Rattus norvegicus: one gene and its partner. The protein of the gene in region 2 interacts with the protein of the main gene of each other region in a biochemical or structural test. Links are inferred from orthologs where the notes say so. Each region holds a gene or a part of one and is shown on either strand. Other genes may lie near its edges. The genes, in order: S100a4 and Areg.

What was found.
Region 1: the proteins of Areg (region 2) and S100a4 form a complex in vitro, tested with the Homo sapiens proteins (2 studies listed by IntAct, with this or other methods). The link is inferred for Rattus norvegicus from reciprocal best matches to the Homo sapiens genes AREG and S100A4.

What each region holds. Positions count from the first base shown.
Region 1 is NC_086020.1:178,387,203-178,391,548, reverse strand, and holds S100a4 (protein S100-A4), read right to left. Parts: upstream 3,021-4,346; 5' UTR 2,984-3,020; intron 2,188-2,983; exon of another isoform or gene 2,066-2,187; intron 1,818-2,065; 5' UTR 1,803-1,817; coding exon 1,662-1,802; intron 1,005-1,661; coding exon 840-1,004; 3' UTR 712-839; downstream 1-711. UniProt on the Homo sapiens protein: Calcium-binding protein that plays a role in various cellular processes including motility, angiogenesis, cell differentiation, apoptosis, and autophagy.
Region 2 is NC_086032.1:17,262,609-17,267,024, forward strand, and holds the start of Areg (amphiregulin preproprotein), read right to left. Parts: upstream 3,034-4,416; 5' UTR 2,856-3,033; coding exon 2,795-2,855; intron 1,845-2,794; coding exon 1,626-1,844; intron 1-1,625.

The DNA of each region.
Region 1 (4,346 bases), on a different chromosome or scaffold from region 2:
TAATGCCAGCACTGAGGAAGCTGGCAAGGAGGATCAGAAGTTCAAGGCTACCTTTGGCTACAGGAGTGAGACTTCTCAGAGAGAGAGAGAGAGAGAGAGAGAGAGAGAGAGATTCTTATGCTACTCTATATTACCCTTCTTTGTCCAACCCTTCATGGAAAGGAAAGGATTAATCCAGTGAAGCCAATGAGCTAGAACGGGTAGCAAGACAGGATCTGGACTATAAATGTTAGGGCTGAATGCCAGTCCACCTCCCCACCCTTCTCTGGCTTCAAGACTCCTGCCTCATGACTCAGGCAGGCCTGTTGTCTTCCCTCCAGACCCCAACCAGCAGCAGATGTGACCTTTAATTCCATCCCAACTTCAGTTTGAGCCCAGAGGCAGTACTAGAGAGAGGAGGGAGAACCGTGGGCTGGATAACATCCCACATCTGGAGCCTTTCAAGGCAAGCCTCTGGTGGTTTCTGCCTTTAGTGTTCCCAGAGTTTGCTTTGTTGCATGTACAGGAGCACGTGAACACACACAAACACACACACACATGCACGCATACACACAAATATACACTTGTAATGAACTCAGAATAAGTCACTCACCCCTCCCCAACCTTTTCTAGTTTGGCCCCCACAAAGCTCCAGGTCAACTTCCAGCCATCTCTGCCACCACCCTCCCTCAGCCCCACCCACCCACCCACAATCTCCAGTCTCTCAGACATAGTTTCAAAACTCTTTATTAAACTTGCTCAGCACTGTGCACATGTATGAAGAAGCCAGAGTAAGGCACTATGCTCACAGCCAACATGGAAGATTCCCCCACTGGCCCAACACTTCATCTGAGGAGTCTTCACTTCTTCCGGGGCTCCTTATCTGGGCAGCCCTCAAAGAATTCATTGCACATCATGGCAATGCAGGACAGGAAGACACAGTACTCCTGGAAGTCAACTTCATTGTCCCTGTTGCTGTCCAAGTTGTTCATCAGCTTCTGGAATGCAGCTTCGTCTGTCCTTCTCTGGAGGTAGAAGAGGTACAGTTAGACGCCACCTCCAGCCAGGAGCTCAGGAAGGCTTGCAGACACCGTGCTAGCCTCAGGGCTCAACTGTGAGATGAGCACATGGGCTAGCTGGGAAAGGATGTGACCACATCTTCCCCACGCTTGTTTTAACTATGTCTATAGGTAACTGTCATGACAAGGAGGTGTTAACTAAGATAAGGTGTCATTGAGGGGAAGATCTGCAGGCATTTGTGTGCCTCCACAATCATGTCTTCACAAGCAGAAACTCGATTTCTGTTGCACATCACCGGAAAGACTGTCCTGATCTAGGCTGTGCTTTCAGACACTGACTACCTAATGTGGTTTTCCTGTGCCACTTCAGTTAACTTCATTCTAAGCCTTGTCTCAACGGGGGGCTGGTGTGAAGTAGATGGTTCATTGTGGTTCCATACCAAGCGCCAGGAGTAGGGAGAGATATATATATATATATATATATATATATATATATATATATATATATATGTAGATAGATAGATAGATATAGATAGATGATATAGATATAGATAGATAGATAGATAGATAGATAGATAGATAGATAGATAGATAGATATCTCCAGCCCCAGCCTCCTCCTGGGGATGCATCACATATGCAATACACAGACAGGATCCACTCACCCCCAGGAAGCTAGGCAGCTCCCTGGTCAGTAGCTCCTTGAGCTCTGTCTTGTTCAGCTTGAACTTGTCACCCTCGTTGCCTGAGTATTTGTGGAAGGTGGACACTATTACATCCAGGGCCTCCTCCAAGGGTCTCGCCATGGTGACCGTTGAGACCTAGGGGCAGGAGACACAAAAGTAGCCTTCTCCAACCCACACCAACAGTGTGTTGAGAGCTGGATATATGTTGCTAGGCATCACTCAAGTCACACTCAGTCTGTCCCCGTTTTTAGTGCTCTACTCCAACCTACTCTCTAAGAGCACTTCCAGAGACCGACCTCACTCCCAGGGAGATCAGAGGAGTGGTACCCACTGATGGCAAGAAGCTCATATGTGCTTCAAGCTCTGAAACTTGCAAAACTTACCACTCAAACTCTAGAAATTCATGCCAGCAGCCTTCTGTGCCTCCCCCCCAGGCCTGGCCTCAACAACAGCAGTTTTCCATCCCTCACTCAGCTTACTCACTCCCCAACTCAACCACAAGCTCCAGCCTCTGACCCATTCTTCTCCCTCCCAGCGTTGGGCGCGGCTGCTGGCTGCCTGCCCAGGGGCCTACAGTGAGGGAAAAAACCCAGCTGCCTAGTAGGAGTGAGATGAAGTGGCAGAGGTTGGGGTACAAGGGGAGGGGGTGGGGAAGCCAGGCTCTCTTGGCCTAGGTGCTATATGTTCATAGGGCTATGAACTACTATGAACACAAATGCCTACAGGTGGGTGTTGAACAGGTGGCTCAGTAGGTAGAGGTGCTTGCCACCAAGCTCAATGACCTGAGTTTGATCTCCAGAGCCCACATGCTAGAAGGAACAGATTGACTCTCACAAGAAGTGCCCCTTGGCATTTGCCCCATCCCCACCCATACACTCGTACACACAAATAAAATAAGTGTAATTTAAACATCGTAAAACAAAAATGCCTGCTGATGCCTTCACTTTGCTTCCTGTACCTGAGTGTCCACACACTGGCTTGGATGACCCAGCAACATACCTATCCATGACAGTGGCTCCCAAGCACCAACATACACTATAGCAACATACAAGCAAGCCTCAGCATCTCAGAATCTCCGGGAGCCATTTATATACTGCTTGTTTTTCAGTTTTCATTCTTGTGCAACACACACACACACACACACACACACACACACACACACACACACACACACCTCCGTACCAGAATCTCTCATCTGGATCCGTTAAAGACTTCTGCCCTCCCCCCAGTACGCCCCCTTTCTCCTGTCCTAGCCTCAGCCTCTAAACTGCTAACAGTGCTATCAGGCCAACACGACTCACCAGACCAAGAGAGAGGAAGTGCTGAACAGAGAGGTTTGGGGAGAGCCCAACAATCTGACCTATTTATACCCTGCCATGCCCTGCCCATGCAGGGGATGGGGGAACATGGATACTGCTCTTGCTGTTGGTCGATGCGGGTAAGTGTCACAGCCCAGCCACCAGCCCAGCCAAGAGCTAGGCTTCCTGCTCCCTAGCAGGCACAATCAAGTAGTGAGTGCGCTCCAGTGGGCAGGGCAGAGACTTGGATGGGGTGGATACCACCAAGTAGCCGCAGTTCAGCTAGAATCTTAGGAAGCTTTGAGAAGGGACAACCTGTACATGAGGTGTGGGGCACAGAAAAGGAGATGCTGGTGTTATAGACAAGAGATGGGAAACTGCCCTGGAATTATCTGGCTGAGGAATTAAGGAGGTGACCCAGCCAGTGGGACAATGTCAGCCCTTCTCTCCAGCCTACACAGCTTCTTGTCACATCAGGAAGATCCAGGGTGGAGGCTAGCAAATCAGGAGGGACCTTGGGACCACCCCAGGTATTAAGTGGGAAATATCATAATGGAGTTAGGTGGTAGTGTGGCCTAGAGGTTTATGCATGGATGGAAGCTTGAGTAAGGGTATTGGGGATGACAGAAGCATTCGGGATTGAATGCTCAGCTTGGAGAAGAGAGTTAGAGAAGAAAGAGGTGAATAGGGAGTCAGGATTAATCTCTAAGGATATGGTACAAACTCAGGGGTTAAGTGAAGGTTAGAGGGGGTTTGACTCTGGGCTCCCACAACCGCATCCTCCTTGTATTGAGTACCTCCCAAGGAGCCCCTTGTTCTCCTAGAAAGCCCAAGATAAGGACTTCTGGTTCAAGACAGGGGACAGAGAGATGGAGACAGAGACCCTCCAGTCTCATCCAATGAGACCTTATGTTGCCCCCACCCTCCTATTGGACACTAAGATTTGAGCATCTCTACTGGGTCTGATGCTGGGTCCCACAACCGCATCCTCCTTGTATTGAGTACCTCCCAAGGAGCCCCTTGTTCTCCTAGAAAGCCCAAGATAAGGACTTCTAGTTCAAGACAGGGGACAGAGAGGTGGAGACAGAGACCCTCCAGTCTCATCCAATGAGACCTTGTGTTGCCCCCACCCTCCTATTGAACAGTAAGATTTGCACATCTCTACTGGGTCTGATGCTTTGGGGGTCCATCTTCAGTGGTAAGCCTTCTTTCTCCAGTGGTAAGGAGCATAAAGGAACAAGGACTCAGTCCCAAGACCCAGTGTGTCCCACCAGAAAAACCAAAGTAAGCCAAGATGACATTTCTTTATTGGGAGTTGAGGAGGCCCCTGCCACAGCAGTCCCAACTGTGTGCACATGCCTGAGCT
Region 2 (4,416 bases):
CCTGGACTAGGAGTGTGTGACGAAGTATTTAGCAAACAGAGAACAGCAGGAAGAGAAAACACCACTAGTCCCAAAGATTTTACAAGCACCCATCAAGTCACACAGAACAGGAGAGACATACTAATGGAAGGCTCATGGGGGTGTCGAAGACAGAGCCTCCCTGTCTTAAGAAAATGATAAATATTAGGAATGTTCTAGGGGTTTACTTTAAGTGAATTAACAAAAGTTAAATTAGAAGGAATGTTAAATAGGTAGCCATGCATTGTTTATACAGAAACTTTCTTTTGATCATTATAAAGTGCAAGTGAGAGGAAGCCCTCTGGGAGAATTGTCTTAAACGCATTATCGCTACACTTTATCAGGTAGATTAGAAGTCCAAGCCAAATAATAGTCACTGTGCTGAAGGGTTGCAGCAGACAACACACCCCTGGGTATTCAAGCAAACAGCCTTTTAAAGGAGAGCAACCAACAGTCTCGGCTGTACACACTTCACTGCAATTCTCAGTAGCAGCCGCCTGCCTGCTCCAGAAGTTGGCCTCCAGAACTGTTAATAATGTAACACGTCTTTAACAAGCTGGTGGATGCCCTCCTGGTCCGACCTATTCCCCTGTCCTATTACAAATATTGAAACATTAAAAACAAAAACTAAGCAAAAATGAACAAGATAATTGAGGAGCCCGGCACTGGCGTAGACTGCTCACTGAAGTGTACCCCTCCCCCGAGTTACCCTGTTTCAGTCCTTGTCCCTCATTCCTCCTCAGCTCTGGGAAACTCCGGTGGAGGAGGAGGAGGAGGAGGAGTCAGGAAAGCTGCTAGGAAAGTTTTAGGGACCTTAAGGAACTCTGAAATCACCTTGCCCTGCCTCCAAGGTAGATGCTTAGATCTGACTTATCAATGGCCTCTTCTCCGCCCCAAACGGCAAAGTAAAACGAGGATAGTGAGTCTATCCCTCTCATTTGAAAGAAAGGTTATTTTTTCTTTTAAAAAAAATAAAATCTGTCTAATAAGAGCAAAAGGAAAAAGAAAACAGGATCAGTAGTTTAGCTAAAAATACAATACACACATACATCTTTAACATCCCTAGAGTTCCGTCCTTATTCTTTCTGTTCCCTTATTTGTGTTAGTTATGCAGTTATTAGTTAGTTAGTTAGTTAGTTAGTTGTGCAGTTATTTGAAGACAGGCAGTGTGGAGGAGGGGACGCACCTGCTGAGGCACAAGGGCCTCAGGAATGGTCAATGACTAACCGATGCTTCCAGAATGGAGGTCATGTGGCATACTGGGAAAGATGCTAGTCCCCGGAATCAAGCAGACTGGGGTTCTGATTCTGACTCAGCTGCTTGCTCCCGGGGAGCGCACAACCTCCCTGAGCTTCAGTTAGTGTGTAAAATGAGCGCCGTTCTGCTTACTTCCCAGAGTTGCAAACATCAAGCATGCAACAGGAGATCTTCATGAATGTCTTGGACCTACAGGGTGCAACCTCCACATAGCTCTTCAGAGGATGTGCAGCAGCCACGCCTGCCTTCAAATCCCTTAGGAAAGCCTAGCCGCCTTCCTTCTGAAGCCACTTTGCTGAGGTAAAAAACCACATCTCCCAGACAACACTTTCCTAGTGTCCTCCACTCACCTCTGACTGAGTCGTCCACAATATAGCCGGATATTTGTGGTTCGTTATCATACTCCTCCGAGTAGTCATAGTCCCCTGTGGAGAGTTCACTGCCAGAAGGCATTTCGCTTATGGTAGAGACCTCAGAAACCACAAGTCCACCAGCACTGTGGTCCCCAGAGGACGGTTCTCCTTTCCCAGAGCTGGTGCCATTGAGTTCCAACCCAGCTGCATAATGGCCTGCAGGGGCGGAGAGAAGAAGATGAGTCTGGTGCTTTTGGCTCACTAAGGGACCCCTGCTGTGTAGACGTGTGTCTCCTCATATTAAAGCAGCTACTGCCTGTGTGCTATTGGGTGTTTGGTTTTTTGTTTTGTTTTGTTTTGTTTTGTTTTGTTTTCCCTCGACTGAGTCACTCGTAAAAGCAACTTCACAGTCAGCCAAGAAGCAAACTCAGCTGCCCAATTACAGAGTTTCTTTTATCTGGGTTTTCTTTTCCACAGTTAGCCTACATAATGTCCACAATTTAATAAGTCCTGCCAGTAAGTACCTCTCCCTTCAGGTCTAACTTGGGTGCGATTGTTCCAAAGCTTTCCTGCCTGGTTGTAGCGGGTACTGATACATTTTAACGCTTGTTTACAGCGGTGGAATCTGTGCCTGAGATGCGAAAAGCAGTGCCAACAGTGACAGGGTTTTCAGTGTAAAGACATTATTATTATTATTACCACATAGAGAAAAAGTTCAGCACCCCGCAAACCCTTTGGGGAGTCCTGAGTTCCAGCCCTTGATTTCATTTTGATTTTTGTTTTTAATATCAAAACAGCGTTGCCAGCGGTGCTTTAGGAAGGTAAAAATAAAATCACTAGGCGGAGGAATGGAAACAGAAGGCAAAGAACCCTCCTTCAAATCCTCCAGGATTAACTACCTTTGTGGAAATTACTTCACCTGCCTGGACCTGGATTTCCTCAGTTATCAAGGGAAAGGGAGGACCAAAATGACCTCTTAGGTCTCCATCAGCTGGTCCTTGGGTCATGCTAGAGACTCACTCGGGTCTGCCCTTCTAGCGTGAGCGGTTTCAGGGGTGCGAGCTAAGGGAATCCGTTCCCCGGTCAGATAAATTTGGGGGCATCAAGAGGCAGCAGCATTCAAGGAGCGACAACCCTGGAGGCTGCTGCAGGCACGGGGTGCTCACCTGAGCCTAAGACCAGCAGCGACAGCACTGAGAGCGCCAGCGAAAGCGACGGAGTTCTCATTGGTTCCGCGGCCCGGCGGCGTCGGGGTCTCTGCGGCAACACGACAGCGGCTCCCGGCGGCCGGAACAGCGGAACCGCGAAGCAACGGGCGAGCACCGGCGCGGGGAAGCCCAGCCCCGCCGGGCTCCAGGAGGCTGGAGCTGCCAGCGCCTAGGGCTCGGCTCAAAATGACAGGGCAGCGGCCGCGAGTCAGGAAGGAGCAGAGCGAACTTGGCGGAGGGTGCGGTGAGCACTTTATAGACCCGCGGGAACCACCGCCCGTGACGTCACGCCTCTCCTGGGTGGAGGCGGGAGGTTATTACCCCAAAACTCAGCTGATCCGGGAGGAAGTGGGGATCGAGCCCTGTTACCTGTTAACGCGGAGGGAAAGTTTCCCACTCGTGTTGTGTTCTAAGTTGGAGTGTTCAATATATATATATATATATATATATCCGGGAGATGAAGTACCAAAGTTCCATGTTAGGACGTAGAGCTTTAAGAACAACTGTGGCTAAGTGATGTAGCCAGAAGACTTGAGGAGGATAAAGGAAGCTACTTAACTGGGAAGAGACAGCGACTCCACAAGAGAAGCTGTTTGGGTTTGTGGGCAGTCTGGGGTCCTTTTCCCACCTGGGCTCTAAAGGACTTCAAACGGTGTGGATATCAATCAAACCCCCTTTTCAAGTCCCTGACCCGGTTTTTCCCCACCTGGACGCTAAAGGACTCCTACTGACCCCGTTATCAATCAGACACCCTCCCTGGGGTCTTCCTCTCTGCAGTCTTGGCTGCTCTTTTTACTAGTGTCGAATTAAACACTTGAGATTTTACCTGGACATGGCTGGACAGTGGCACTTAGGAGACTGAAGGACAGTTTTCAGGGAGAAGTCAACCTGGGCTTCTCCCAATAATACACTGGAGACCAATAATACACTGCTGGGGGTAAGTATGCTCCGCCCCCCCCGCCCCTCCCCAGTTTACAAGCCAATAAAAGACAGGTGTGAAAGACAGAAAGAATGAATTAACACAGGAGACAAACTCGCATGCCGTGTAGATTTTATTCAAATTAATTTGTCTCTGAAATCTGCCTCTGGCCTCTGCTCTGATAGAGATAGAGGGCTAAACTGACCTTTATGAAGAGGGTTGCTGGGCAGAAGAAAGTTTCATAGAAAGGCAAAGGGTCAAGATAATTTAGGTGGGCGGGGCGTCTGCTGTTCAAATTAGAAGAATCCAGCGAGGCCGGGTTTCCAGCCTAAGAGGGAGCCCTAATGAGGACACATCAGTGACTCCAGTACTCTGGCTAGAGGATCTTGACTTCCAGAGTAAGGAGCAAGTTTGAGGACCATTTGGGCTAGCAGAAAGACTGGCAGAAAGAAAGAAAGAAAGAAAGAAAGAAAGAAAGAAAGAGAGAGAGAGAGAGAGAGAGAGAGAGAGAGAGAGAGAGAGAGAGAGAGAAAGAAAGAAGGGAGGGAGGGAGGGAGGGAGAAAAAGAAAGGGAAGGGAAGGGAAGGGAGGGAAGAGAAGGGAGGGGAAGGGAAGGAAAAGAAAAGAAAAGAAAAACCAAAAATCAACCCACGGCTATGGG